Linked DNA regions of Struthio camelus. The protein of the gene in region 2 binds, or shares a complex with, the protein of the main gene of each other region. Links are inferred from orthologs where the notes say so. Each region holds a gene or a part of one and is shown on either strand. Other genes may lie near its edges.

Region 1 (7,843 bases), on a different chromosome or scaffold from region 2:
CTTGGACAGTGAATGACCCCGATTCATCATATGGCTTTGAATGGCTTTGAACCACTCAGAGGGGAGAGGGGGAAAAATCCCTCAGGATGGTACTGAAAGGATTTAGGAGCAGGAGACGGCGAGGCCACATGGGGTAGCGTGGTGGCCTGCAGCTTGGGGCACTGGTCCTGCAGGACCGTAGCCCTCAGCATGCTTGGGTTCACCTAACTTAAAAATCGTAGCTCCGAGCTTGGGCCAGGAGAGGTCTCTGCTGAGCACAGGACTTAGGGCCACGGGTCCAACCTGGCCCCTGGGCACAGCACAGACCATGGGGAGCCCAGCCCGGGCTACCTCCACCTCCTCTGGCCACTGGCTACGCAGACAAATGCCCCGTGCACCAGGGAGCATCTCCTGCTCGGCTCCCTCCTTGCCCTGTGCACCAGGGAGCATCTCCTGCTTGGATCCCCGGACCAGGGACGCAGACACCACAGCATCCCCTGCCCGGAGCAGGGACACGCAGACACCGCCACATCCCCTGCCCGGAGCAGGGACACGCAGACACCGCCGCATCCCCTGCCCGGAGCAGGGACACGCAGACACCGCCGCATCCCCTGCCCGGAGCAGGGTCACGCAGACACCGCAGCATCCCCTGTCCGGAGCAGGGACACGCAGACACCGCCGCATCCCCTGCCCGGAGCAGGGACACGCAGACACCGCCGCATCCCCTGCCCGGAGCAGGGACACGCAGACACCGCAGCATCCCCTGCCCGGAGCAGGGACACGCAGACACCGCCGCATCCCCTGCCCGGAGCAGGGACACGCAGACACCGCAGCATCCCCTGCCCGGAGCAGGGACACGCAGACACCGCAGCATCCCCTGCCCGGAGCAGGGACACGCAGACACCGCAGCATCCCCTGCCCGGAGCAGGGACACGCAGACACCGCAGCACCTCTTGGCTGCAAACACCCCAGGGAAGCCCTGCAGCAACTGATAATGTGAAACACCAAGAGCCATCTTTGAACCTCAGAGGAGCCAGCAAATGTCTCAGGTTCCAGCCAGCGCTAGAGAGAGGTGTTTCACCTCCCATGCGGGGCGAGGCAGGGGTTAAGCCTAATTTGTGCAAGCTCTCTCATTAGGCACAGGGGTACTAATCTCTGCTGCTGTGAGCCACCCATCATTGCTGCTGGCACAGGCCATAATTACAGACCATAAACACAGCTGGCCCTACCCAGCAGCGCCAACCGCCTGCAGAGAGGGCACGGCCGGCAGGTCCAAAGGTTGGGGAGAGTGCTACTCCAAACGGCCTCTTCCGGGGTGCCTGGGTGAGGGCGTGGGGTGGCCAGGGCTGGGGAGCCTGTGCGTGTCAGTGTGCTTGTGTGCTGCATGTGTGTCCAGGCATGCGCTGTGTGCATGTTGACGTGTGTGATGTGTGTGTCCTGCGTGTGCTCCGTGTGTTCCCCTGTGTGCTGTGTGTCCCCATGCATGTGCAGGTGGGTCCACATGTGTGCTCTGTGTCCCTATGTCTCTGCTTCTGTGTGTGTGTGTGTGTCTCCACGTCTGTGCATGTGTCACCCCCACGCGTGCGCTGTGCATTCCCACGTGTGACCGTGTCCCTTGTGTGTCTGCTGTGTGTCCCCACGTGTCCCTGCTGTGTGTCCTGCTGCCAGCCCCGTGAGCCCTGCACCCACGGGCACCCCCTACACTCCGCGCACTCCCTACACACCATACACCCTACACCCCACAGCCCCTACACCCACACCCACGGCGCACCCCATGCATCCCAGCATCAGCTGGGAACCTTCTCTCAGGGCAGGGCCCAACCTTACCGTGCTGGTACTGGTGCTAGTGCGGGTGCCGTGCTGGGCCTGGACCCCTGTGCGCCCACCCCCTGTCTGTGCTAGTGCTGATGCAGGTCCCGGCTGTGCCGGTGCAGCCACCCCCCCCCCCCCCCCGCCAGTGCCTGCAGTACCAGGTCTGGTGCCCCTGCGGATGGTGACTCCCGTTGCCCGGCCACCCATTCTCCCCAGTGCCAGTCCCCACTGCCGGTGCCTGTCACCCTGCTGCCAGTGCTCCCGGTGCCGCAGCCGCAGTGCTGTTGCCGGTCCTCCTGGCCAGCGCCAGTCACCCCCGCTGGCAGTGCCGGTCACCCCATACCAGTGCTGGTCACCCCCGCTGGCAGTGCCGGTCACCCCATGCCGGTGCCTGTCACCCCATACTGAAGCCGGTTGCCCCATGCCAGGCCAGTCACCCCCACTGCTGGTGCTGGTTGCCCCATACCAGTGCCAGTCGCCCCATATTAGTGTCGGTCACCCCCACTGCCGGTGCTGGTTGCCCCATACTGGTGCCACTCGCCCCGTATTGATGCCGGTCACCCCCGCTGCCAGTGCTGGTTGCCCCATACCGGTGCCGGCGGCCCTGTATCGGTGCCAGTTGCATGCTAGTGCTGGACACCCCATACTGGTGCTGGTGGCCCCATACTGGTGCCAGTTGCCCCATACCAGTGCCGGTCGCCCCATACCGGTGCTGGTCGCCCCATATCGGTGCCGGTCGCCCCATACCGGTGCCGGTCGCCCCATACCGGTGCCGGTCGCCCCATACCGGTGCCAGTCACCCCATACCAGTGCCGGTCGCCCCACATCGGTGCCAGCTGCCCCATACCGGTGCCGATCGCCCCATACCGGTACCGGTGGCCCTATGCCGATGCCGGTTCCCCCGCAGCCCGTTCCCCCGTGCCCCGGCGCGGCGGCGGCGGCGGGGCGGGCGGCTCTTACCGGGCGGCGCGGCGGGGAGCGCGACGCTGCCGTCGCCGCGGAGGCGGATGTCGGCGGTGCGCAGCGGCCCGGCGGCGGCGGCGGCGGCGGCGGCGGCGGCGCGGCAGCCCTGGAAGCAGAGCGCCCAGGCCTGCTCCTCGTTCAGCGGCTGCTCGTAGCACTTCAGCACCTCCTCCAGGGACAGCTCCCGCGGGCCCCCGCCGCCCGCCCGCGCCATCGCCCCATCCCCGCGCCGCCGCCGCCGCCGCCGCCGCCGCCGCACGGGGGGCCGGGCCGGGCCGGGCCGGGCCGGGGGCGGCGCGGAGCCGAGCGGCGCGGAGCCGAGCCGAGCCGTCCCGCCCCGCCTCGCCCGCCCCGCCCGCCGCTGGGGGCAGCGCCCCGGGCTGGGCGGTACCGACCGCAGCGGCGCCGAGCGGCGCGGCAAGGCACGGCACGGCGCGGCGCGGCTCAGCTCGACAGGACTCAGCTCGGCAGGGCTCGACAGGACTCGGCTTGGCGCGGCAAGGCATGGCACGGCTTGGCACGGCTCGGCTCAGCTCGGTGCAGCTTGGCGCGGCTCAGCTCGGCTCGGCTCGGCACGGCTCGACAGGACTCGGCTCGGCAGGACTCAACACGACTTGTCTTGGCTCAGCTCAGCTCGCCTTGGCTCAGCTCAGCTCGGCGCGGCTCGACAGGACTCGGCTCGGCACGGCTCTACAGGACTCGGCTCGGCAGGACTCAACACGACTTATCTTGGCTCAGCTCAGCTCGCCTTGGCTCAGCTCAGCTCAGCTTGGCTCGGCTCAGCTCAGCTCGCCTTGGCTCAGCTCAGCTCGGCTCAGCTCAGCTCAGCTCAGCTCGGCTTGGCTCAGCTCAGCTCAGCTCAGCTCGGCTTGGCTCAGCTCAGCTCAGCTCGGCTTGGCTCAGCTCAGCAGGGCTCGGCTCGGCTCAGCACAGCTCAGCTCAGCACAGCTCGGCTCGGCTCGGCTCAGCTTGTTTCAATTTGACAGGGCTCGACACGACTCGGCTCAGCTCGGCTCGGCTTGGCTCGGCAGAACTCAACACGACTCAGCTCAGCTCAGCTCGGCTCGATTTGGTTCAGTTCCACAGGGCTCGACAAGGCTCGGCTCAGGTCGGCTCAGCTTGGGTCGGCTCAGCTCGGTTCAGTTCGATTCGACAGGGCTCGACACGACTTGGCTCAGCTCGTCTCGGTTCAACACAGTTGGGCACAGCTTGGCTCAGCATAGTTCGGTTTGGCTCGGCTCGGTTCGGTTCGATTTGACATGACTCGACATGACTTGGCTCGGCTCGGCTCGGCTCGGCTAGGCTCAGTTCGACTTGACTCGGTTCGGCACAGCTCAGCTTGGCTCAGCTCAGTTCAACACAGTTCAGCACGGCTTGGCTTGGCTCAGCTCAGCTCAGCTCAGCTCTGCTCAGCTCTGCTTGGCACAGATTGTCTGGGCTGGCAGGGTGCAGGGTCCAGGCCTACGGTGCAGGGCTCAGTGCACAACCAGATGCAGGGTGCAATGCACACAGCTGGGTGCAGGGCACAGGGCGCAGGTACAGAACGGGGTGCAGGGCACAGGGTGCAGGACACAGCCCACAACTGGGCACAAGGTGCAGGGCACCTGGCGGGTTGCAGGACAGGGCACAAGTGGATGCAGGGCACAGGTGCAGGATGCAGGGCACATGAGGGGGTGCAGGGTGCAAGGTGCAGGGCACAAGGTGCAAGGTGTGGGACACAGGGCACACAACTGGGCGCAGGGTGCAGGGCACACAGCTTCCTGCAGGGTGCATTGCACAGGACTGGCTGCAGGGCACAGGGTGCCAGGCGCAGAGCAGGGTGCAGGGCACAGGGTGTGGAGCAGGTTGTGGGATGCTGCCCCAGTGCAGGCCTGCTGGGGGGGCTCAGGGCCGGGACTTGTCCTCCCACCTGTGATGTGAGGGAGATGCATGGGGGTTGGCAGCAGGAAGGGCCCTGGGGACCGGGGTGACACCTGCCACCTCGAGGCACCCTGCCAGTGCAGCATGCCCTGGTCCATATAGCACCGCCCTAGTGAGCCCCGTGCAGGTATGGCTTGGCCACGGCCACCTAAAAGCTCTGGTATGGCCACTTCAGCGCTGCGGCTACTGCCACCTCACTGCTGTGGCATGGGCACCGCCCGTGGCTCAGCCCCGGACCGGACAGACCAGAGGCATGGAAATGATTAGCTCCCGAGAGCTTGTCCTGGGCAACTGATCTGCCCCAGCCTTCCTTAGCAGGGTGGCTGCTCGGCCGCATGCACCGGCAGAGCGGGGGCTGCTGGCTGCGAGGACACCGCAGCTCTGGGAGCCCCGGGAGCGCCCGGGGCTGGGGAAATCCTGCTGCTGCTCCTCTTTGGTGGCGGTGGAGGCCTTTCCCAGGAGCTTTCTGGGGGCACATGTGCAACGAGGTGTTCACCCCATGGATCGGCATCCGCAGCCCAGTGTGCACGGCCCCCGTATGGCCTTGGGTCACCTCCAATGGCCAGAGGTCACCTGGGAAGGAGCGAGCCTTGCCGACCAGTATAGGAGAATGTGGGCTGAAAATCAACAGCTCAAGCACGGGCAACGCCAGCAGCGGGAGTTTCTGGGGTAATCCCAGGTCGCCCTGGCTGGAAAGGCCCAGCAGGGCAGGGAGGTGATGCGCGAGCTGCTGCCAGTGCAGCGCAGCCCCGGGCAGGGCGACGCTTCCAGCCAAGTGGGGCTGCTGGCGCAGCCCCCGAGACGCGGCGTGCAGCGCTGGTGCCCATGCTCACCGGGGAGCACTTCACGCGCAGGTGAGCTGCGAGGACGGCGCAGAGGGGAGAGGAGCGTGGAGAGCTGGGCTGGTTAGTCCTGCCAGCCAGGGGGAGAAGAGGTCCAGCCGTGACAGTAAAAATAGCAGGGAGGAAAAGCAGCGAATTAGAAGAGCTCTTTATGCTGCAGTATAATTTCAGCCTGACCACAACCAGCAGAAGCCGTCAGGAAAGCGCTGAGATGGGGAGCTGGAGTCTCTCTCGCTCTTCGAGTGGAGGCCGATGGCCCACAGGTACAGGGCAGGCGGCAAGGTCGTGCTGTCATCAGGAAACGGTGGTATGGCCCGGTGCCCGAAAACAGGGCTGGCAGAGACCCAGCAGGCCCTCCAGACCCTCGCTCCCTTCTGGAAGACAGTCCTGGAGAGCAGAGAGAGCAGCGGGGCCCTCTGTGAAAGGTCAGCTGGAGCAAATTAAAGCTCTTGTCATTATGAGCTATCCATTTTCATGATAGAAGGATCATCCTAGCCCATCTCAGCTCTATTAACCCATGAGCATAAACTGGAACCAGCCCAGAGGGCAGGCGAGCTGCACTGACAGGCTGATGAGAGGGATGGAGCTGGTGCACGGGTATTTGTCTGTCCCAGCAACAAGAGAAGAGAAATCCTGGAAGTTGCCCCGGTGCCAGGACGGGGGAACGTGCGTAGCATTAGTGGGATCAGTGCGCGAAGGAAACGCGACAGCAGAACTGGAGAGAAACCCTGCACGTGCCTGCTGGGATTCGGGAAGGAGGAGGGCAGACAGGGATTCCCCGAAGTCTGTGTGTCTGCGGGGTTATCAAATGCACCAGTTGCTGGGCTGGGAGTGGGCACGCTGGGGGCGAGTCAGCAACGGCCCCGTTAAGCCTCTCTGATCAAAACCTGCCCAAAGAAAGTGCTGACCAAGGATGGCGTTTTGTTCGGGGGCTCAGCTGCCTCCCTCTGCCCAGCCCCACGTGCGGCTGGTCCCGTTGGCCTGAGCCGCCCCACGGCTCCCCCGCAGGAGGCAGAAGGGAGGCAAGGTAGCGTGGTGTGTTGGGTGTCACGAAGCACGTCTGGAGGACAAGGGCTTATCCCGGGTGTCCGAGGCTGCTGCCCGGCATGCTGGAGCACCCACGTCTGCTCCCCTGGCCAAAGGGATGCTCAGGGAAGAGACAAGGAGCTGCGGCTCAGCCACCTCTCCCTACCGGCGCTGTGACGTGCTTGGCCGTCACTGCAGCACAGGGATGGGCCAGACGGCTGTGCAGTCATCCCTGGCACCCCTGGCTCCGCTCCGGTGCAGTCCAAGGAGCCGATGGGGAGGAAATGGGGAATAGGAACAGGAGCAGGACCGACCGGCCAGCTGGAGGGAGCCCCATCAGCGTTGAGAAGGAAAATATGGCACTTCTGGGCTGTGACACTCAAGTCTGAGTCTCCATCTGCACAGATAGATGAGATTGGAATGCACCATTTACCCTGTAATCAGCCAGCTTTGTAGCCTGCTTTGGAAGTGACTTTAGAGGGAGGAAGCATCGGCTTGCTGCCCTTTGCAGGGGGTACGCGTGGGGCTGAGCCGGCTGCTGGCTCCTGCTCTGCATCGCGTTTGAACACACCTGCCGGTGCCCTCCAGGCTCAGCCAGGGTGGCACCGTCGGGGATAGCAGCAGGAAAGATGCGGGGTGTTTGAAGGCCACGATAATAACGCAGCCTGCAGGATTCATGGGAATATATTTGAATTACAAAGCACAAAGCCCTTTGCTTTGGGTAAAACTGTAATTAATATGAAATCAAGATGTAATTAAAAGCCACCATCTTGGAAAAAATCAAACAAAAGCAAAGTGTGTATGTGCACAGGGGAAGTTTAAATAAAAGTACATGAAATAGGACAAAATGAAAAGGTTGGGAAAAGGTTATAAAGTGCTTCCTATTTCCTACCACCCTCCGCACTGAAACACAATGTGCTGCAAAGATGGATGCGGAGCCGGGATGGAGGGCAGGAGCCCTTCCCCGCGCGGCTCCCAGAGCCGCTGGCAGCAGGGTTGCGTGTTGCATGCAATGTTTGTTTTCAGGTAAGACACTCACATGGATTTCCTTTGTCATATGCCAAAAATATCCTTAAAAAGCCACAAGAATTAAAGATGACTCCATAAAGCACCTGTGGGGTTAGATGCACATATTCCAGTTTCATTAGGTGTCACAATAAACTCGGGTCGTGAAAGGAGAGAACATTTTACAAAGTTAGCTCACTCTTTATGTGTGCTGCTTGCCGTCCCCAGATGTGGCCAGACACGAACACACCTGAGTTCAGCGAGAGCTTCCCAGCGTCGCCGTGCCATTCGGCGGG
Region 2 (7,722 bases):
TGTACAACAATAAGGCTGTCTATACGGTCACCAAATTTAAACAAACATATACATGAAATAAAAGGAAGAGGATTTTCATAAGAGCGGCATGACTTCTGGGAAAACATACGTAGCTCGCTTCTGATAAAAAATAATTTAGCTTGGGAAAATAATGGCTCCTGTATACTATTTCAAGTTAGCATATGTGGTTGGGACAGAGGGCACTATTTTCACTCTGGCATGCAGCGAAGCCAAGTTTGAAGGCTTCACAGTGGATGTTAACAAAACTGGACGCACTGAGGGATAAGGCACAGACCTCCACTTCTGCAAACAGCAGTTTGAAACAAAAAATGAAACAAAAACAAAGTCTCATGCTTTCTCAGGCAATATTTAAAGAGATGTTGATAACTTCTCTGCACCACTGGCACTCCAGTTATTTATATATTTTTATCAACTTTTTTAGAAAGTAATTCATACAAACACAGCTATCTGCGCAACTTGGACAAGCTGGAACGTGGACTGACAGTGGAAGAGGGGTAAGTGAGCTTTCAGATACTCATTTTCAGACCACACAAGCACTGGCCCAGTCAGTTTGCACTACAAACTCATACCCTTCCTTACCCGCCAGCAAAACATACATGCCAGTACCATATGTTAAGTGTCACTTTTAAGTTGGATGCTCTGCTACTTTAAAGAGCTGTCCTGAATGACAATCCTGAACGTGCCTGCCAGTATAAAAAAAGATGTGAAAGTCACTTTTCCTGTGCCTACATATGGTTTTAAAGAGGATAAGAATAGCCTGTTGTGTGAGTAAAGCACAGAAGCAATCTCGATGATCTTAGTCATGCAGTAAGTCCCCTACTGGAGCACTATACCCTGCACTTGTTTTGCTTTTTTGTTTGGTCTTTTTTGTTTGTTTTTTTTTTTTTTAGCTTTCCCACTCCAATCTTAAATCCATTATTTATGTTACTTGATCAAGGATGAGGTCTGTTGTTGCTACTCGCTAAAAGAGATACTGAACTTGATTGAATAGCAGGATGGTTTTACCTGGGGACAAGCAGGCAAAGAGGGGAAGGATGCAAAGACAGTCTCTCTTTCTGCCCCCAGCGACTTCCATATCCAGGTGCCTGTACCAGAGGCAAGCCTTCTTCAGGAACTGGAAGGCGGCCCTGAGCTTTCCACTGTAATGTAGCGCCGAGACAACAGGACACCCACATTCCTGGGGTAGTCTCTGACTAAAGGACTTAACCTTCCAAGGAAGTGAATTCCAGCTATGACAGGGATTGAATTTAAAACAAAAAATAAGTATCTCGGATTAACTTCTTATATGGACATTTTAATTCCGTAACAAGAACATCCACAGAGAGAGGTAAATCAAGATCAACTTTCCAGAATAACTCCTTGCATAGACAAACTCCATTGGGTGCTTGCGAACAACTCTACTCCATCATTGCGCTTTTGACCAGAGTGCTAATTTTCACCCCTTTTGCAATTACAGTTAATACAGATACTTGTCTGTGAGATATAAAACATAAAGATGCATCATATACACTAGTTTATTTAGCTTTCTTTAGGGCATGCAGGCACATATCTTACTTCCTTACATTCAGTCTACACAAATACACTATTCAGATGTGGCCAATGAAGCCTACTGAAAGGACTGTCCAATCTGATTTGTACCGATGCATGTGCAGGGTGCCGGCTACCATAGCTCACGGGGTGGACTCCACAAATAAGGTGGACTATTCATGCCAAAACAAACAGGCTGTTTCCTTTCTCTTTCTCTCCTCACACAAAGAACTCGACTGGGGATAATTTAGGAGTATTTCATCAAGCGGTTCAAAGATCTAGATGACACGCCTTTCAGCAAAGCAGACTTTGACTTTTTAAACTTGTTTGGGGGAATTCTGCACTGTACCATGGCGCTCGCGTCGGGTGACCCCCCCAATGATCCCTTCTGCCCTGAAGAACATATGGTCAGCCACTCTTCTTTAGATATTTTGCGCTATAACTAGACAGAGGAATGAAAACGATGCATTGCTAATGCATGAAACGATCATTTCAACAGCTCTCAATTTGCAAGTTTTCCCATCAGAAAGATGCGTAGGGCAATAACTGCTTCTGGGTACAAGCTGATGAGATACTGAAACGCAAACCTAAAAAGATCAAAATATTGTCTGTTGAAAAACTGCGAGAGAGGCACCTCCCGCATCACCGCTGGCTGGAGGGAGTGCGAACGCCTGCCAGAAGAACGAACGCGATCTAAAGGTGCAGTGTCATCAGAAAGGTTAGTTTAACGCCACGAGGCCCCCACCATATATGCTGTAGCAGCTGCTTCTCTAAAAGGAATTTGACGACGTTTTTGGAAGACGTGGCTGAACGACACAGAACCGTACGAAATCGTTATTTCAATCCAAACATATTAAAAATAGCGACACGTAACTAGGAAGCTGACTAAACCCTTCGGAAGGGCTCGCTCCCGGGAGGCGTGCGTTGCATAAGCTGGGGAAGGGGTAAACGCGGGGTTTTGCTGCTGCTGGCGGCGGCAGCGGCGGGTCGGGTCAGCCGGGGCCGGGCCGGGCCGGGCCGGGCCGGCAGGAGCGGGGTCCCGCCGCCGGCGAGCGGCGGTGCCGGAGCGGCCCTGGGCACAGGAGGCGCCGCACCGCGCTGCGCCCAGCGCGGGGTCCGGCCCGGCCCGGCCCGCTGCCCCCGGCGGCGCCTCGCCACTGCGGGCGCGGCCGCCTCAGGGCGGCACCGCGAGGGCCGGGGGGCCGCGCCGCCTCCGCCCCCGGCCCCGGCCCCGGCCGCTCCCGCCGCGCCCTCAGCCCCGGCCCCGGCCCCGGCCCGCCGCCGCCGCCGCCGCCGCCGCCGCCCTACCTTCGTGTACAGCTCGGAGGCCGCCATGGCGCTGCGGGCGGAGGAGGATGAGGAGGAGAAGGATGAGGAGGAGGAGGTGGAGGATGCTCAGGCGGCGGCCCGGGCGCGGCGCGCCATGTCGCTACCTGGCGGGCTGCGGGGCCGCCGCCGCGCTCTGTGCATTGTGGGAAGGCGGCGGCGGCGGCGGGCGGCCCGCTCGGTGCCGCTCGGCTCCGCGCCCCCGCAGAGCCGCGGGGGGGGGGGAGGGGGGGCGCGAGGCGGGAGCCCCCGGCGCGGGTCACGCGCGAGCCCCCGGCCGAAAGGCGGCTCGCGCCGCTCCGCGCGTTTCTCGCCCCGCGGCGGGGGCGCCGGCGGCGGGCGGAGCGAGAGCCGCCCTTGGCGCGGCGGCGGCCCCGGGGTCGCTCCCGCTCCCTCCGCGGCGGCCCTCCTGCCACCGCGCCTGTTCTTCTCCTCTCGCGTGTCTGCCTTTTAAAGCGCAGCCTTTTCCCCTTTCAGTATTTTCTCTCACTGATTATAATCCCAAATGTCCAAGTATTTCCAGCCTTTTGCAGCTTGGTAACTTCTACGAATTGTGCGTCTTTATCACCTAGGGCATTAACGAAAACACGGAAGAGAACGGGCCCCCTTAGGTAAGCCAAGCCCAGTTCCCCGAGGGAAACAGATGCACGTCTTGGAAAAGTTTAACTTCCACGTCAAGAGAACGACAAGCAGAATCCATGTTCGGGTTGGGTTGTGAGAAGGGAGCTCATTTGCTTTATGAATCGTTCGTTAACTGGAGTTTCTTACAGCGCGCACTGTGGCAAGACTTCTCTGATAACAGGACGGAAGCCACTACCGTCTCGGGAGTAGTTTACTTTTTCGCCTTGGGAACGCAGGCCATCGTTCATTGCAAGCGGTCCAGAGTACAAAACAAGATCGAAACAGGCATCTTTGCCATACTCTGCATCAAAGCGCTTTGAGTCTTCAAGCAGCATCTCCATGAGAAATTCAGCTGTTTAAATAGCAGCTTTGTATTCAGCAGATAGTATCTGCACCCCCACAGAAACGCGCAGCTAACGCTAGCAAAGAAATACAGAAATCTGTTCTACAGATAGAGAGAGCCATGAAAGAGATGGCCTCAAGATTACACATCAACTCTTGACAGCTAGAAACAAAAGCAAGCTCCCTGGACTCCCAGAATAAACTCCCAATAAATGCTATAATCGCTAGCTGCACTTTACTGTGCTATCCGAAAGAAAGGAGATAGAGAAGGTAGTAAAGACAAATGAAAAAGATGAAAAATAACTGAGATGAAAATATGGAGCCCTACTGATAGTTGTTCATGTTAGCTCCAGATACAAGATCATGGCTAATAAGCTAAAGTTAGTAAGTTCAGAAAAGAAGTTTAAAAAATTGTTGATTTTGCTGGGAGAGTTCAGAAAGTTGAAACTGGTTTATCAGAACTAAATTAAAATAATACCTTCCTTCCCATATTTTGCCAGTATGTCCAGGATTATCAGCTGAGATTACTGTCATTGCCCCCTGTCTAGGTGGCACACTGCCATTGACAGAACTGGGACACTTGCTCTCAGTCCTAGGAGAAGCCAAGGACAGAGTCCTGCTAATTCGAGCCCAGGTCAAGGCAAGAAGTTTGCACGGCTGCTCTTTGTATGCCCACTATGGTAAAACAGGGATCTAGACTACAAAGCTACCAGTCACCTTTGATCTACAACAGAAAAGAACAAGTGGGAGTAATAGCGATTTGGGCTTTGCGACTCTGATCACCCCCCTTTAACAGACTTGATGCAAGAATCTTGCTATTTGGACCACAAAAATTCCCCAGTTTTATTTCCAGAAGGGACCTGAATCTCCCCTCGCACATGTGTTGCTTCATATCTGATATTTAATAGCCTTTCTTCAGGATGTCATCTATCCTAAATTCAGGATGCCCATTTCAGGAGTTCAGTTGGACTGTGGATTACTGTATCAGCCATTCACAGCTGGCACTCAGGAGCCAAATGTAATTACAAGCACCAGCAAAAAATAGATAGCTGAGTCCAAAATACTCTATGATTTGACACAATTTGCATAAACCAGGATTTCAAACCTGTCATTAAGGACAGGAATTGGGGGCAATGAAAGTTGTAGAGAAACAACCTGTTTTTAATATATCTAGAGTGACTGCTTAGCTATTACTTTAACAAGTGGCTCCTACTTCAAACACTTGCTGGTAAAATTTGAAAGATGTCCTCATCTCATACCTTGCACAACATCCTTTCACAAAGATCATGTATGGCATTTTGTTTCAGGACAGATATATACACAGTATTCCAGCTATGAATGGCTCACGTAACTGACACAGTCCACATACACAATTTTATACTGAATTTCAATCCCATCAAAAAAAGTAGGAAAGTTATCCTTCTAGGAATTGAGATTAGTTTATATAACTTTCTTCAGAAGTAACTACAGAGCATCTGTCATGTCTTTTGCTTATATCCATGTTCTGTTTATGCTCATAGTCTGTTCAATTGTGGCATAAAAAAATCCCCCTCTGAATTAGGGCTACATGCTCGGTTGTTGTCATGTTGTGCCACAGTGATCAATGGATTCTCTGCTGATCAAATGAAAAACAGAAATCATTAGAGGCGCAGAAATAACACACACTGGTAACATGAGGAACATGGTATTAGTTTATATGATATAGTGGATAAGCCCAACCATTCCCTCAGGAAAGCTCTTGTATATCCAACGTTGACCATCAGTTCAATTCCAAGGTTCCACTGGATAGTGGAAAAAGCTAACACAAAGTTAATTCAGGAATTCACAGGCTAAAATCCTCACTCTCTCCTTTCCTGTATTCTCACACATCAAGGATTAGGCCTATAACTTTTAGCTGTAGGAAACAAACTGCGTTGCTTTCAGCCAGTACTGACTGAACAGTTAAAAATCAGTTGAAAGCGCTGAAAAGTAACATAAGAGAATCATATTCTGTGTACATATTCTCCAGATAAAACTTGGGATTTACTTCTATTTTTGTGGGCTTTCAGAAAAGAGTAGTCTTAAATAGCATAATGACTCTTAACGGCATGATGAAATTCCCATATATTCCCCTAGTATTCTCATCCTACTAGGATGATTTCTGCAGCCTTTAGAATTTACTTATTTTCCTCTCAATGTAATAGCAGAAATTCTTTTAACAGTATAAAAAACATCACCTGAGAACAGACTTGCTGCTTAGAAGAACCTGCACCTCCCAGTTCTTGCATCTAAGCATCCTTGTCATTTCAGCACTATAATTCAACTCCGAGAAAATGCTGTACATTTAAAAATCCAGAACCTGTTTCTCAAGACCCTTATAGTTGTTTTGTTTTTTGTTTCCCCTCAAATCCAGTAAGAAACAACACTGTCATATTAGCACTCCTTTTAAGACAGGAACATCACCAGAAGTTGAACCGAGTCTCTACGAATTCAAGTTATCCTGCACCAGAAGTGGCAGAAGATGGCTATTCCATAATACTGTCAAGGGAAGCTGACATATCATCTAAGCATATTCCTCTTTAAGTAACAGCTGCAATATTGTCCTGCAATAAGGTGAACTAAAACCACCAACTGGAATCTGCTATTAAATTAAGACAAAGTCAGAAACAAAAACTATTTCATATTACTGTCTTAAATTAGAGTCAAATAAACATCCATCTGAAACTGGTGGAGTCTTTGGCAATGTTTTCCACAGCCATAATTAAGCAGACTCCTGTACCTGCTATAAATATGCAAAAACACTTATACATAAAAATACATGAAGCAGCACCCCAGTTGCAATAAAAAGAAGCCTGAGAAAGACAGGCACAATTCAGTCACCTTCCTCTAAACTAAAGCTAAAGTTTATCTGCTGCTGTGCAAGTATTTCAGAAGCGTTTGCAAGAGAAATATTTAATGTAAGCAAACACCTTGAATACATACAGAACTCTTAGGATTTCAAGTTACTCTGGATCTAAAGATGCCAGAAATTAGGATGGAAAAAGCCAAGTTTTGAGCTTAAACTATTGCAAAGACAAATCTGCAAGAAGGGGGCTCACTTGTACTACAGCAGAAATAAACATCAAACCATACATTCAGCCCAGCTCCACTTTTAAGTTTAAAAGCACTCTGCCTGCTCACATGCCACACATGCTCCCCCCGTCTACTCTTTCACATCTCTCAGAAAGCCCCCTAGTCATCAAATCAACACCTTGCTGCCATCTTGTCTCCCTGCTGATTTGAGGCAGGCATACTCTACTGTGACCACAGCTACCAAATGCAAAGCTCCTTTGAATGCAGGCCTGTGCAACTCTACTTGCTTCATTTTCAACTGGAAATAGATTTGGGCAATGAGCCTGTATTTAAACAGTTTGACTTTGCCTGAAAATGGATGCCACTCCCCATATACTGAGATTCAGATGACCTAGGACTCTTCACGCTAGTGCTAATGCCACCTTTGCACTGCCTCAGTATGGTATCCGGACGACACTACTTAAACTGGACATTGTTCTCCTCAGTTTGGTACAGATGTAGAGCAGGTAGGGTGTTAGCCTAGATCTGGTTAATGAACTAACTGTATAAGCATACCATGAGGCTCTTGAAGTTGCACAGAAGACCGTACCTAAGTCACAATCGGAATATAAAATCAGTGGGATTCCCCCCCCCCCCCCCCCCGACCTTGATTTCTTGGAAACTTTGTCATAGTCCGGTCAATACAATCTATAGCAATGCAAACTTCTATATGCCAAGTTAATCCCCAGAAATCCCCCTTCACTCTGTACATGGGACCAAAACAATCATCTATTACAGAGTTTTCAAACAATAAGCTTTAATTGCCTTATTAGAAAAATAAGCACTGAAATATAT
Region 3 (7,019 bases), about 12 Mb from region 2:
CAGCAGATTGTTAATCTTTTCTAGGGCTGCTGCCTTCTCTATCTTTCTTCAGATCTTTAGAAAACTAGGATGAGGTTAGGAAAGGCTTTGGAAAGATCCAGATCCAGATCCTTTGTTCTTCCAGCTCCAGAGTTAGGAAGGAAAAGGCTGATTTACAGAAAATGTTTTTGAACATTTCTTGTTATATGAGCTGTAGAAGTAGAAGAAGAATAGACTGTATGCTGGCGTTCAAATAAGTTATCAACAGAAAAATTCTCTCTACTCCATGCATTTTTATTACTCCTACCTCTGGCATGGAACTGTCCGAAAATAGAACCCGTTGTACATCATAGACCCTTTGCTCTGGTCCAGAGCCCTAAAAAGAAAAGTTTGTTATTTCAACGGATGGATTTTATACTTAAGCTTTCTTTTTTCTGATTGACTTATGTCAAGTCGGAGGTAGTGAGTGCTAAAAGCCTGCTTTTCATCTCTAATGTGACTGCTGCATTGGAAAGCTTGAATTATCTCTGCATAATTGCAATGATTCATGGTTTGTTAGAAAATTGGAAAGTATCGATTGGATTTCCCCCTTAGGAAATATTTCTCCTGTGATAGAGTAGGATGGGTTGTGGGGCTTTGCTTTTGTTCTTCCTGCCTTCTGACAGGGGAAGCTGGTGACTCCTTTCACCTGGGAAACAGGAATTTGGGTCAGCAGCCATTCAAGGGCAATCTGAATTATTGTGACTCCTACCCCAAATCATTCCCTGAGCTGCCAATTTCATGGGCTTTGCAAAGCGTGGATGGAGAATACAGAGTCAGAAGATCTGGGACCAGCAGCTCTACTGCTGAACTACTGCCCCTGCCTTATTTCAATTTCTTCTGTTTCCATGTCAAATCCAACCAGTGCTTTCTGCAAAGAGACCCTGACCTTGTTGTGGGAAAGCTAGAACCGCCAAAGATGGGGGCAAAACTCCTCTTACTTTTTTTAGGTGAGGATTCCTCTTAGGGTCGCAAGAGTAGGTGGCAGGAGCAAAGTGGGAGAATGAAGCGAGGGTGCGTGGGGGGAGCCGGACACACAGCGCCTGAGGCAGAGCAGGTCTGCGCTGACAGCCCTAACGCACACACCTGCACATTAAATGTGCTGCTGTGGCAAAATCTGGGGCCTTTTTGGCCACTGGTGTATAATTTCCAGAAAAGTACCATAAATACACAGTTATGAGTGTGTCCTCTGCTTCTTTTCTTTGCTAAATTGAACATCCAAGGTCCAGCTGAGTATCAGTCCTTGTCTCTGCTCCAGTTGCTTGCAACATGCTGCCACCACAAATGGTCTTTTCTAAGCACAACGTGAAGAATTAACAGCCAGTGAAAATTCAGGGTTTGCAATGAACTTAGCGTTCCCACAAGTACAGCACTAACGGCAATTAACGAAGCAGAAATTCCAGCGCTGAACGACTTTCTTCACATTAGAAGCTGCCAGTCCCAGAGCACATAGTCCTCTGCTATTTCAGGCCTGACCTCTGCTTCTTGGCCACATTTCATACGAGCAGGAGGTGTCCCAGGCCATCCCGTAACGCAGCAGCACACTCTAGGAGGGGACACAAAGAAGGAGCAGAACAGCCAAAACAGTCTTTGCTAACAGTGGCATTTCCTGAGGATTTGTACATTCTCACCTGGGCTTTTCATGATCAGGAACAGAATTAACCCAGCACTGACCAGACTATAAGGCTTTTTAATTTCTAGAGCTCCCTGCTAGTCCAATGCTATCCTCATTTACTGCTATCAGTTTACTCCTGTTCAGACACGCAGTTCTTTCTGCTATTTCAGTTTTGCCTGTCTACACCATGAAGAACCTGAATACAAATGAGCAAAAGCATTTAAATGGCTCAGCTAGAAATAACCCCTGTGACTACTCACGTACATGGCAATCTGCTGAAATTTCATATTGCAACACATGATTGGCAATGCCTTGTTTAATTTTGCCAAGTTGTAACTGTACAGCAATGTAGGGGCCGTCACTTTTAGCTCCGCCGGAAGAGCCATTCTCCTTACTTTGTGCCAGTTCCAGACTAGGAACATCTGCAACTTGGTGCAAGAGGAAGTGACTCTTACACATATGAAAAATGCAAATAAAGGGTGTTTCCAGGTTCTCAGCTGACAAACAAAATCCAAAGCACCAAAACGAAACAACTCTTACAGACAGCCAACTAAAAATACTTCAACTGGGCTATTTTAATTTTTTTTTTTAAGTAATAGCATCTTTGAAGGGTGAAACTAGGCCTGGGAAACGTCAGGTTAAAATTAACAGTTTTTTAATGACAAAGTTCAATGGCAGCCTGAAAATAGGATGTGAGATGGAAACTACAGAGCTATAAATACACCACAGCCTCTACACACATCAGAAGCCATTATTAATTTTAAATCCCGTCTTGCTGCATCGAGATAACTTCAGAGAACAGAGCGGCAGGAGCGGCCTAGCATTTTCAGATGCATTTTGAGCGTCCGGGGTTCATCTGGAGAGAAAAAGGGTCAACGCAGAGACCGCACATACTCCCGCAGACCTCGTGGCTGCGCTGCTACCCGCGTGCTGCCTGCTGCTGCGGGGTTTGGTCTTGCAACGCCCGTAGACACCGTTATCCCCGCCTCGCCTGCAGAGCCGGACCGCGGAGCCGCGGAGCCCTCAACACTAAGCGGGTTTCGTGCACGAATGGCGGCGAGAAGCCGGACGTCGCCACGCGCCCCAGGAAGGAAGCCAACGGCGGCCCTGGGCTCCCGCTCCACTTCCGCGCCCCTGGGCGGCCGGACTCTTACCGGGCGACTCGGGCTTCGGCTTCACACCGGGCGTCTTTGTTATCGGCGTTCCTCGCCCAGCAGCTCCCGCCTGGCTGAAGCCGCCGGAAACGTTTTCGAAGCGCAAGGCGCGCGCCACGGTTCGCTCTCGTTGCAGCCGACAGTCGGTGCCGGGCCGGGTCGCGGCGGGCGCCCCAGGGTTGACGCCCAGCGGGCGGCAACGGTAACGCCGCCACTGGTTGTAGCGATGGCTAACTCACAGCTCCTGCTGACGGCAAGCCGGTGGGAAAAGAATGAGTTTTCAGGGTTTCGGTTTAATCGTCTGGACATGAGGGCTATTTTTATCTTTCGCTATTTAGGCCTCCGGCGCGCGCCGCGGGAGCCAACGGGCAGGACCAGGCGAGGCCTTGGCCAGCGGACCCGGAGGACGACCAAAACGCGGCCGGTCGGTCTCTGAGCCGGCCTCTCCGCTCGTTTCCAGAAGAAACCCAGCTTTCAGCAGCTCCTGCGGCGCGGCGGCCCCGTTTCCCGCCTCGGGGCGGCCTCGCAGCCTCCCGCAGGCCCCGACGCCATTTTTGCTTCTCCCTCACGGCCCCGGCGCCATTTTTGTCTCTCTCTCACGGCGGGAGCGTGGCAAACCTGAGCCGCTTGGAGGCGAATACCTCCGCCCCGGGCTGGGATGCACCTCGTTAACTCAGAGTTCATTGACGTGTCGTTACGTGCCCCCAGATTGCGGGGCTGCTGACCGCTCTGTGAGCCGTGGTGGGTTTACCTCCGATCCGCCTTGGTCTCGGCACAGTTGGAGACAGCTCTGGGGTTTTCTCCCTCAGAAAATTAGCCCCCACGGTACCGTCCTTGGCCCGTGGGGACAGGGCGATGGTAGCCACTCCCCAGCGGGGGAAAGGACTAGCGGGCTAAAATCAGGAGAAAGTGTGAGGTGTAATCGTTAGATACGGCCCTGTGTCTGTGGAGCAGCACAGAGTGGAGGGGAGGAAGGCGTGCGCCTGGCCACTGCTCAGGCAGAGGACGAACAAAACCGACGGGGGCGGGGGGGTGGGAAAACAGAAGAAAAAAAAGAAAATTTCAGGTTCCACCGAGATTTGAACTCGGATCGCTGGATTCAGAGTCCAGAGTGCTAACCATTACACCATGGAACCGCTGTGGTCATCACCCGCCCCGCCCGCCTCTAATGCTTCCTCCGCCCGCTCCGCGGCGGGGCGGGGCCTGCGGGGCCGGTAGGCGGGGAGGGGCTCTGAGGGGCGGCGCCGGGCGGCACCGCACTTCCCGCCCCGCCTTGGCGACGGCGCCGCACCTTTAAGGGGGGGGGGGGGCACTGTCGCCTGTCTCCGGAAGTGACGTGTACCGCCGCGGCGCTGCCCCGGAAGCATCTCTCTGTGGGCGGGCGAGCGGAGCGCGGAGGGCGGAAGCGCTGCGGCGGCTGCAGGGAGGGGTCCGGCTCCGGCTCCCGCTCCCGTTGCCCGTCCCGGTCCTCGGCCTCCCGCCGCGCCTCGGTGCACCGCACCATGGGCACCCGCGACGACGAGTACGACTATCTCTTCAAAGGTAACGGCCTGCGGCGGCCGGTCGCCATGGCAACCGGAGGGGTCACCTTCCCCGAGGAGGGGGAGGTCTGGGCCTGGCGGGGGGCAGCGGCCTCCTCACGGGACCGGCCCTTTTCGGCGGGGGGGGGGAGCGGGTTTGGGGGGGCTCCATCGCCACTCCTTCGGCGGCCCCCGCCCCCTCGGGCCTTTTTCCCCGGAGCCCTTGGCGGAGGGGGGGGTCGTTGCCCGGCTGCCGCCTGGCGGGGCCGGTCCCGGGCGGTGTCGGCTGCGGGCTGGGGGTGGGGGTCGGGGCTGCCCCGGGGCCGGCCCTGGGGGGATCATGGGAAGGGGGCCGCCCTCCCCCGGGGCGCTGCCCGGCCGGGGGCGCTGCCCGCGGGGAGTCCCCGACCCTGGCTCGGAGGTTTCTGGAGCTTCATCGCTCGGGCGGCGTTGGGAGCCGCTGCCCGCTCCGGAGCGCTGCCTGCCGGCTTTGGTTGTTCTCCCCGCAAATAATGGTAAGTTTGGGCTGGTTTCCATTTCAGTGATCTGGCGTGCTGTCTGTGTCTTGTTTAAGGCTTCTGCTCTGTCAGTGGGCTGAGGTGGCAGCCAGCCTTTAGGAACAAAGATCCTAAGTGAGAATGCCCAAGATGGATAAGAATTACTTCCTTTTACAGCTTTTAAATGGAACTGTGAAGAAAATAAATTGTTCTTACGTTTAACGTTAGTAGAAAATGTAGCTAACTAATAAAATAGTATTATTTGTCTTCTGTGTTTTCAGTCCTTCCTTAGTTAACTCCTATTTCACAGCCAGTGGTCTTCCTTCTTGGCACCTCATATGGCACCCAGCAGAGTAGAGCAGGAACACCTTATTTTCCAGGACTGGTGCACCTTCAGTCTGCTGTACATCAGTGAGTTAGGTTAAAGATGTTTGATTGCCTTAAGTATTCCCTTTTCACTCCCTGCAGTCCAAAAAGCCAGTCTGCTGTGAAGGTTCGTAAAGCATGCAGTGAAACCCAAACTGAAATGCTGATGTTCTGAAGTTGCTTGCTTCTATGATAGCGTTTTAAAATTGGATATTTGGAATATTTTTAAAATAGCTGTTTACTGTGATACTGTACTGGACATCTGAGTTTAGGATTTATAATACTCCTTGGTACATTCTCATGGTGAGAGATGCGATTACTGGCATCGTGAAACTTGGTTGCCTAAATGAAAGAAGCAGTGTTACTTTCTGTGCTCTTAATTTCCTGTAACAACTTTGAGGAATTTAATTTTTTCTGTCTCTTTTGCCCAATTTCCATGTGGAAAATGACATTATTTCTGAGTATAAATCAGTCGTATGTACAGCAATTAAAATCAGGTCAGTTCCAAAAAGTGCCCCTCATATTCGCTTGCAGCATATGCAAAGGCCTCTCTGGCCACTAATTTAATCACAGTGAACAGTCTTATTTTAGGTACTTATATCTACAAGTTATCCAAACCATCACTTTACTTATTTATAAGTTCTGTCAGTGATATGCTTGTGATTAATGTTGAAGCTATGAAGGTGTGAGAATATAAGTGAAGTGGGGTTTGTAGGGAGACTTGCCATCTTTTAATGAAACTTCTTGTATAATGGGGAAATATTTCATGAAGCTGGGATCCAGTTGTATAGAAATGTTCAAAGCTAGTTTAGTTAACTGTCCCATCCCAAAGCTTTTTGTGTTAAGGTTATTTTATAGATGGGATTGAGAGTATAGGTGATGCTATGAAAATAGTGCTGTGAAGTGCTGATTCAGGTTTGTCAAAGCCAAAGGCGACTGCAGGAGGTTCATGCAACATCACATGAACTGAGATAAATATTTAGCTGTCGGTAGCTGAAATAACATGACAACAAATGCAGAGTGATACAAACTGGGGGAACAGTTGTAAATACGTAAATGTGTTGGTGATAGCAAACAAGCTATCACCTCTCTGGAAAGATCTTGGAATTGTTGTGAGTAGTTCTCTGAACCTAATGGCTCGTTACTAGGCACTGGTCAAAAATGCAAGTAGTAGGTAAAAAAAAAAAAAAAAATTACTGAAGATGACCTGAGAACTTAATGGGAGAATTATGCCAGTATTTGAATCTGAGACATGAACTTCTTGGATTGAAAGGAAATGCAGGAAGGACTGTCATACCCCTTTCAAAGGGGTTGTTACAGAATTAAAAAGATGGAGAAGAGCATCAAAATAATCAGGAGAGAGACCTAAAAGATTCATATTCCTCATCTTGAAGTGAAGTGCAACTTTATTAGAATTAAACTGAGTGATACAGACAAATAGGGAATAATCTCCCTGAAGACATATGCAAATTTTGGAGCAGTTTATTGTCATAAACGAAAGGTATAAATGGGTTTGAAAGGTTTTACAGATCCATAGGGGAAGAAAAATCTGGGGCACTCTTATTGTGATGATTAGAACAGAAAGCCTGAAGGTACTGCTTGTTTGAAGATGTGAGGGCCTGCTAGGACAAAGATTAGTTTGTTTGTTCTCTTATTCATAGTGTTTCTCAGGCATCCACTCTGGGCTGCTATCAGACTGGGTGTTGGTCTATAAGGACGCTTAATCCAGGAGGACTGTTCTTTTGGGCTTACCAACTTTAAGGCTTGTGGTAGTTGGGGGTTGAGTTCATAGTTTGGCTTGCTTTAAAATAATAGGGTAATATTCTGTAATCTGGCTGTCTCTCACTGC
Region 4 (7,054 bases), on a different chromosome or scaffold from region 2:
GGCAGAAACATCTCCCCCCAGGCACAGCTATATTGCATTGGGTGCTGCATGGTTGCACACGGTCTTCTCGGGGAAGGGAGCGCAGCCAGACAGCCTGAACAAGGAGCGTTTTGTTTGTGCTGGTACACCGAAGGGCCAGACCTGGATCCCAGGCTTTCCTTTGGCTTTATCTTTTTTAAAATCTCAGTACAGTTCGCGTTAGGGTCCTCTGCCTTTCAGGGCCGAGGGGTTTGCGTCAGAGATGATGTTGAGCCCCTTCCCGCTCCTTCCCCCTGGCCACGATCTTGGGTGGATGGGGAATTAAAAAGCAAAACCCTGCTCTGACTCGCTCCGTGGGCAGCGAACAGGTCCTTCGCCAGCGTTTCTGTTTTGGGGTTTCCCGCTGGGGGAAACGGTCAGTTGTTCTTCCCGTTCCCAGGCATGAAGCACTGTCAAAGCTGCTTTTAGGCTCTAAGTTTTCCTCTCTGAAGATCTCAGCTGACTTCTAGGGCCCCACCCCTGATTTTCTTCAGACAACAGAGTCCTTTGCTATCATCTGGCTCACAACGTTATCTCCCCACCATCAGCTCTTAGCGGACAGGCAGTTAAGTAGCAAAGGAGAGGTGCGTGGGGTCCATTTGTTCTTTCCAGCAACATTAGCTCTGCCTAGAGACCCCCTCTGAACTCTGGCAAAGCAGAAACCGGTTCAGTGGTGACAGCCGGTATTTGCAGACAGCCTGAAGCAAACGCTCGAGGCATGCGTGAGCCGCTTCGTTTCTCAGGCAGTTAGCTCTCTCAAACTCTGCCCGCGCGCTTAAACGCAGTTCATTTTTGACCCTGCTGGTTGAGTGAACGGGCACATCCAGTTAGCGTCCTCGCCTGGTAATTCTGATTTTTCTCTCGCATCTTCTTCGGCGATCAGGGTTTCGAGTGTGACTGACAAAGCCTCCGGCCTCTTCCACAGCATTTCTGTCTGTGTGGACGGTGCTAATCCAAGTCCCTGACGCAAGCCGTGATCCTGGGCACCACACAAACTACACGTAAGACAAGGGGGGAGGGGAACAATGGAACTGTCTGAATGACCCTCTCGTTAATTTGGTAGGATCATTTGAGTTTGATGTCTGCAGGAAGACTTCCACTTCGTCACTGTCAAAATGATATGAAAACCTTAGGTTTTGTTATAAAATGGATGGGGCTTATCAACTGGGGCAAAGGCACATCATCTGCCTCAAGACAAGATTAATACGGCCTATGTCACACCTGAGCTGTTCTTGAAGACCTCCAGCTTTGCCCTGTGATCCTTTGAAATATTTCTGCTCCCGGCCCAATCCGTGGGCGTTTCACATCAGAGAGGTATTGAACCATTGATCTCCGGCACAACTCCCCTACATCAGTGATGGGGAACTCGGTGACCGACGTTACCCAGACCCAGGCTCTGACGCTCAAAGAGCTTCTCAAATCGCATCTCGCAGACCGCTGGTAGGATTCGCGCATGGCTGCTGCAAGTCTGCTTAGCCCAAAACACTCTGTGTTTTTGTCTGTTACTGCTGGGTTGCAATAGGTAACAACCCATTAAAACAGCTGTGTCTAAAGTGGCCTTGAAGTCACGCTGATTCGAATGGGATTAACTCGTGTTTGCTCAGCTCCTGTTTACCTTAGGAATTCCTATGAGCTTCAGAGGGTGACAGCCTTTGCCAGGTATTTTACCATCTGTCCACGGGCGGATACTTGAATTATATTTTTAATCTCCGCAAATGATACGCTGACACAGTTCACCCGGTTCAGTTTACTAGTGAAAATCCAAAGGCAGAAGGCTGTTCCTGTGCAAAAATTCAGTTCCCGGCGGGACCCTCGCCACCAGCTTTTAGGAGGCAAGTGTCCTGGTGTTCCTTCGTACTAAGGCAACACTCGGGGAACAGAGGTTGGAGATTGTGCAGCTTTTCCAAGGCAAGCCGGAAGCAGAATACGAACTGCTCAGTCTTCCTCGTGGTAGTAAAACAAATGGTTTCTAATCCTCCATGACTGCAGCTTTCTAACTGCAACCAATGTCGGAGCATCGTTTTTCCATGAAAATTAACCAACAGATGTTGAAGGACCGTTTTGTTTACGTGAGGCTCCTGGAGTCATTCTGGTTGCCTCCACAGGAGATATGGTCATGCAGGGACATGATTAAATAGTCATATTAATAGTAAGACCCGTAACGACGCCTGACGGGTCATGTGCAGAAGTAGCTGCCGCACCGTAACCCCCACCCCCCGCCTTTCCGAATCCTGCTTGTTCTGCTCTGGCATGACCAAGATGATAAGAGGTCTTTATAAAACCGCCGAGAAGACGAAGGGAGGAAAGAATGTGATCACAGAGCTAAGAAATCTCATGACTCGGAGATGATCGCAGAGAGGCGGAGGCAGAGGCACCCGTGAGTCTGCGCCCAAGGCTCCCTCAGAGGCGGCAGCGAACGCTCGCTGCTGCCTTGTTTGCCGGAGCTGGGCTGCTTTTCGCTCTGCCGCCCTGAATCGGAGCCTCGCGTCCGCTTGGACGGCCTGGAGGAGGTGCCACCCGTGGCTTTGTCTCCGTCCGGCTTTCAGAAACTCCTGCCAGGCTGGGATGTCCCCGCGCTGGGAGCAAGGCCGCCGGCGAAGCGCGGGTCGTGCTGAGCTGGATGCAGCGTGGGATGTGCTGCCTTCTGCGTCCGCTAGTCCCGCGGCGGGCAGCGCGCGCCGTCGGCGGCCTTTGACAGTCGGCGCGGCTGCCCGCGTCCACAAACGCCTGCTTTTCTGTGCAGGGTTGTGGCAACCTTAAAGACGAGAGCCCGGAAATTCCCCCTCTTCTATTATCTGGCAGGACCAAAACCACAAATTGAGCTCAAGCTTTGTCCTTACCGGTTTTAGCTTGTAACGCTTCTCTCTTCTGTCTTGCCAAGAGGAGGTCTAGGCCCCAAACTCGACTGAAATAAAGGGCTTTGGGCTACATTAGGCTGCCAGAGGTGCCCAGCTAATGGGAAATACTTGATTTGCCTCCTCCCTTGCACCTTCACGTGTGGTCGCTGCAGGTCCTGGTGTCATCTGGCTTTTATGACTTGTGAGCGTGGTTCTGTTTGGTTTCTTTTTTTTTTTTTCTTTTACACAACTTGGAAAGATTTGGGGGCCTCTATGCATAATTGTAAGAGGAAGAAGCGACAGGGTAAGCCGCTGCGGTCGGGCGGATTTCATTTTCTTTCCCAAAGCAGAGGCTGCGCTCGCTGGAAGCTGGCGATTGCCGCAAAATTCAACAAACTGGCTTTGCAAGAGGGGAAAAAAAAGAAAAATCTCTCTCTGCTGATTTGTACACGGTTGTTTGGGGGAGAGAGGGGGCCTGGAGTTTCCCCAAAGGAAAGCACTTATCGGGGAGAAAATGCAATACTCGCAATTTATTCTGTGCCCCCGCATCCAGGAAGCTTCCCGGCGGGATGGGTTTTTTTCCAGCTAAAGCAACGCTTCCTGGGGCTGCCGGCGCCGCCGAGCGCTTTGCTGACCCTACGCGGGAGGCCCCATCTTCCCCGTTTTATACAGCCTCCCCCCTTATCCTGGGGGTTGCGACTGGTCCCGAGAGGCGAGCCGGTGCCCGCCGCCCCCCCTGCCCTTGTCCGCTCGCCCTTGCATGCAGGACGGGGGCAGGAGCGAAGGCAGGCGCCTCAGCTCTTGGCGCAACCGTACTAAAAGGCCCTCGAACAGGGTCGCCTCGTGATGTTAATTAGTATCTATTGACCCGCTTCTCCCGCTGTTTGGAGGCAGCGGGCCGGCGCTGGCTCTCAAACGCGCCCTTACGTAAGGAGCAGCTCAACCCACGTCTCGCCGCTGCCGACGGACTCGTTGCTCTTGGTGCCATCGCCTCTCCGCTGGCAGAGGGGCTGGAAATCGATGTGCGACTGCCAGCGTCCCCCCCGCCTCCGCCTCCGACGTCTAACTCAAAGTTGCATCTGCGATAATTCGTCCCGGTTTGGATCCGGAGCCTCATCGGCGTTTCCACTGAGCTACCAGGGTGGAGAAATCTCTGCACCACGCGGACAAAAAGCAGTGGCCGTAAAAGCCGTCCTACCCGGCCGGAGGGGTGGCTGGCGGTGACAGGGAGACGAGTGCCGGCAGACTGCAATTTCCTTTCCTGGCAGAGTGGTTTTTCATCCTCACCGCTGCGCTCGCTCTTTGTTTAGGTGCCTGTTTGGGGGGGGGGGGGGGAATGTTGATATTTGCCCTGATAAAAGACAAGAACTGAATTTATTTTCTTATCCCAGTCGCAGGGGGGTCCTGCTCAGTGGCGCAGGGAGAGTTTGGCAGAAAGAGCGAGCAGCGAATACGGTAACGAAGCCAGCTTTGGTAACCGAATTATTTCAATGTCAGTATATTCCTTCTGCTAGACGACGCATCCCAGCCTTTTTTTTTTTTTTTTTTTTTGCAAATCCTATCAAACCTGTAAATCAGGGAAAGTCTGTCCTGTTTGCCACCAGAAAAGCTCAGCTTCCCGAATCGGCCGAGCCCCTCCCGCGAGAGCGGTCGGAAACGCGTGGCGCCGCCGTTTTCGGCACGGTGACGCTGCTGGTGGCGTCGGCCCCCTCCCAAGCACCGTGGCCTGCCCTCCCGTTTTTAAGGTCGGGCGTTTGAAGGTTGGTTGGAGTTGCCTGCACCCCATGTAAAGCAGGCGGCTAGGCTGCAAATTAAACGTCTCGTTTCAGGGAAAGCCAGGCAGGCGAGGTGTGGAGTTGCCTGCAGCTCTGCCGGTGGGACGTGGGGGAAGGCAGGGCGGCTTTCCCGGCTGGCGGGGAGTAGCCGCAGCTGATAAGCCCCAGCCAGCCCTGCTGCCTGCCTCCCAGGGCGGGATCTCCTGGCAGACCGGCCGCCGCGTCCCGAGGAGCTCGGTCGCCCGCCGAGAGCCCTGAATGAACCGGGTTGCACGGACAGCCCCGGAGGGGGAGCCGGGCTTTTCCCCTCTGCCGGCGCCCGGTCTCTCCTAGGGTAGGCAAGGAACGGGGCGGACTCGGGTCAGCGGTGCCGCCTCCTGCACGGCCCTGCCCGAGACGCGGCTGGGGTTTTTGTCCTTTAGACTCGGCGGCGCGAGATGGGAAGGAAGCTGGATCTTTCCAAGCTGACTGATGAAGAAGCCAAGCACGTTTGGGAAGTTGTTCAACGGGACTTTGATCTGCGGAAGAAAGAGGAAGAGCGGCTAGAGTGAGTACCTCCTCTGCGGGTTTTTGCGAGGCTTGCTGAAGGAAGCCGTGGCCATCGATTCCCGTATGTCCTGCTGAGGAGGGGATGTAGAAATAAAGCAAAAGATTGAATCTGTAAGCGAGGAGGAACAGCCAGGACCTGACTGTGACTCACACGTAGTGATTAATAAGTTATCAGCTGCAAGGTGATGCTTTCTGGCTGCAAAGGTGCAAAACTGGCATTCTTCCATGGGGCGTGAGCATTGACGCAGATACCCGTAAAACAGACCGTTTATGTGTCTTAAGTTTCTGGCCCCGCTGAGGAAATGCCTTTGGCTGCAGTTGGGTTTGATACCTGTATGGATTTCACAGGGAGAACTTACTTTAGAGCAAAGCGATCAGATTTGGCTCCCTTGCCTTTGTTTTATTTAACAGTTCTCATGCATTCGCTACAGGAGGGTGTTCGGGGGTCCTGGGAGTCTACAGGTGCCTTCTGGAGGATCCTTGGAGGATAACTGAGAGGAATAAACCTGTTGTCAGTAGGCTTAGGTATGCTGTACAGGGGTCTATGCCATTCTCGGGAAATTTTAAGGATCTGCAGAGTGGGCAAAGACTGAAAAATCACTGGAACAGCAGATTGAGATATCATCCAAGTTCTTGTACCTAGGACACTAGACAAAAGTGCAGGTTAAAAAAACGTTCTGCCTGATCAGTTGAAATTTTGAGCGTGAGAAGATTCCCTGGCCTTGTTCATTACCTTGACCTCAAAAGTTTCTTGGATTTTTTTAAGCAGCTGCAGCATCCCTGTTCAGCCTAGTTAGGGTTTGGCTAAGTTTTCCTTTTTGTCTGAATGTGACAGACAGTGCTCCAAGGCCACCTTTAGGCAGTGCTGCACTTCTGCTAACCCCACTTAGCTCTGGGTTTCACAGGCCAGCCAGATGGCTCAGCCACCGTCTAGGGACTGGGAGCTCCTTGATTTCTCTCTAGAGATATCAAAAAGGATCAAAAAGGAGTGACAAGGGATGGTGTGGGTGAGGGTCATACTCCCTCGATCTTCACTTGGGAGCATCTGCATCTGAGCAGGGTCGAAGCTCAGTCGGTGAAGGAGTGGAGGTAACAGACACTCGAAGTGCAGTACCGAGGCAAACAGGTATGATTAGCTGTTGCTGGTGAGTTTGTTAAATGTGAGAAATGCCTGCTGCTGGCTTCAGTCCAGCCGTCTTCTTGTGCAACATGTTGATTTAGAAGACGACTGCATCCTTTTATACCTTTTTCACAGGATTTAGCAGTTTGTTGCTGAAAAAGGCCAAAACCAGGGCCGTTCACATTCAATTTTACAGCAGCTTTGGGGAGAAGTCAGCTTGTAGGTGCTTTGTTTCCCCAGTGACAGCGGGGTCTTGAGAAGCATCCCCAGAAAGCTGGCGGCTGTGGGCTTCCCGTGCAGGACTGCCCATCGCCTCTGCCTGGCAAACCGCTTCTACGCGGTGTTTCATAGCACGCGTCTGAGCGCTTGGCTGGGGACGGGTGAGTTTGGGTGCGTTTGCGTTTCTGGTCGAAGCAGGCGAGAGAAACCGTGCGTACCTGCCGCTCGCCGCGCAGCCGCAGAGCTCGGCCAGATTCAGCACCCCTGGCTGGCAGCAGGCCAAAATTCCTGTGCAACCGGCTCGCACTGATAGGGTTGCCGTGCTGAGCCGTCTCGTCCGTTGTCTGCTCAGAGCGCCCCGTCCAGCCATCAGAAAGTTCTCAGTCACGAGTTTTCGACTCTCCTGCTTATCTTTTGTCTAAGAAAATCCAGCCTGCGTGGGCGGCGGAGATAATGCAGCATCATCGTCTACTGCCTTCCTCTGCTGGTAGCTCTGAAGTGCAGGATGGAGATGGGACAAGGGCATTTAAAAATAT

What was found.
Region 1: the proteins of MYO5A (region 2) and SPIRE2 are in contact, whole or in part, in a crystal structure (PDB 5JCY), measured with the Homo sapiens proteins. The link is inferred for Struthio camelus from reciprocal best matches to the Homo sapiens genes MYO5A and SPIRE2. Residues at the interface, in NP_001369276.1 of Homo sapiens: Asp1551, Val1554, Arg1555, Thr1559, Ile1562, Asn1563, Lys1566, Ser1597, Gly1598, Leu1615, Thr1616, Asn1617, Phe1618, Asp1619, Leu1620, Ala1621, Glu1622, Tyr1623, Val1626, Asp1629, Leu1630, Gln1633; in NP_115827.1 of Homo sapiens: Arg404, Pro405, Arg406, Val407, Leu408, Leu409, Lys410, Ala411, Pro412, Thr413, Leu414, Met417, Glu418, Met420.
Region 3: the proteins of MYO5A (region 2) and RAB11A are in contact, whole or in part, in a crystal structure (PDB 5JCZ), measured with the Homo sapiens proteins. The link is inferred for Struthio camelus from reciprocal best matches to the Homo sapiens genes MYO5A and RAB11A. Residues at the interface, in NP_001369276.1 of Homo sapiens: Ile1660, Gln1661, Trp1738, Met1742, Arg1745, Tyr1746, Ser1749, Gln1750, Glu1753, Arg1756, Gln1777, Gln1780, Val1781, Lys1782, Lys1784, Met1795, Glu1818; in NP_004654.1 of Homo sapiens: Arg33, Glu35, Ile44, Gly45, Val46, Glu47, Phe48, Ala49, Thr50, Gln63, Trp65, Gln70, Tyr73, Ala75, Ile76, Ala79, Arg82.
Region 4: the proteins of MYO5A (region 2) and MLPH are in contact, whole or in part, in a crystal structure (PDB 4KP3), measured with the Mus musculus proteins. The link is inferred for Struthio camelus from reciprocal best matches to the Homo sapiens genes MYO5A and MLPH. Residues at the interface, in NP_034994.2 of Mus musculus: Asp1524, Val1527, Arg1528, Leu1531, Thr1532, Ile1535, Asn1536, Lys1539, Ser1570, Gly1571, Leu1588, Thr1589, Asn1590, Phe1591, Asp1592, Leu1593, Ala1594, Glu1595, Tyr1596, Val1599; in NP_443748.2 of Mus musculus: Lys184, Lys186, Arg187, Leu188, Leu189, Ser190, Phe191, Arg192, Asp195, Phe196, Glu197.

Annotation. Positions count from the first base shown.
Region 1 is NC_090951.1:1,815,493-1,823,335, forward strand, and holds the start of SPIRE2 (protein spire homolog 2), read right to left. Parts: upstream 3,003-7,843; 5' UTR 2,969-3,002; coding exon 2,752-2,968; intron 1-2,751. UniProt on the Homo sapiens protein: Acts as an actin nucleation factor, remains associated with the slow-growing pointed end of the new filament.
Region 2 is NC_090953.1:15,083,500-15,091,221, forward strand, and holds the start of MYO5A (unconventional myosin-Va), read right to left. Parts: upstream 3,017-7,722; 5' UTR 2,884-3,016; coding exon 2,857-2,883; intron 1-2,856. UniProt on the Homo sapiens protein: Processive actin-based motor that can move in large steps approximating the 36-nm pseudo-repeat of the actin filament. Can hydrolyze ATP in the presence of actin, which is essential for its function as a motor protein. Involved in melanosome transport.
Region 3 is NC_090953.1:3,552,798-3,559,816, reverse strand, and holds the start of RAB11A (ras-related protein Rab-11A), read left to right. Parts: upstream 1-4,010; 5' UTR 4,011-4,289; coding exon 4,290-4,329; intron 4,330-7,019. UniProt on the Homo sapiens protein: The small GTPases Rab are key regulators of intracellular membrane trafficking, from the formation of transport vesicles to their fusion with membranes.
Region 4 is NC_090947.1:4,446,234-4,453,287, forward strand, and holds the start of MLPH (melanophilin), read left to right. Parts: upstream 1-4,046; 5' UTR 4,047-4,165; intron 4,166-4,246; 5' UTR 4,247-4,310; intron 4,311-4,464; exon of another isoform or gene 4,465-4,600; intron 4,601-4,603; exon of another isoform or gene 4,604-5,052; 5' UTR 5,053-5,067; coding exon 5,068-5,177; intron 5,178-7,054. UniProt on the Homo sapiens protein: Rab effector protein involved in melanosome transport. Serves as link between melanosome-bound RAB27A and the motor protein MYO5A.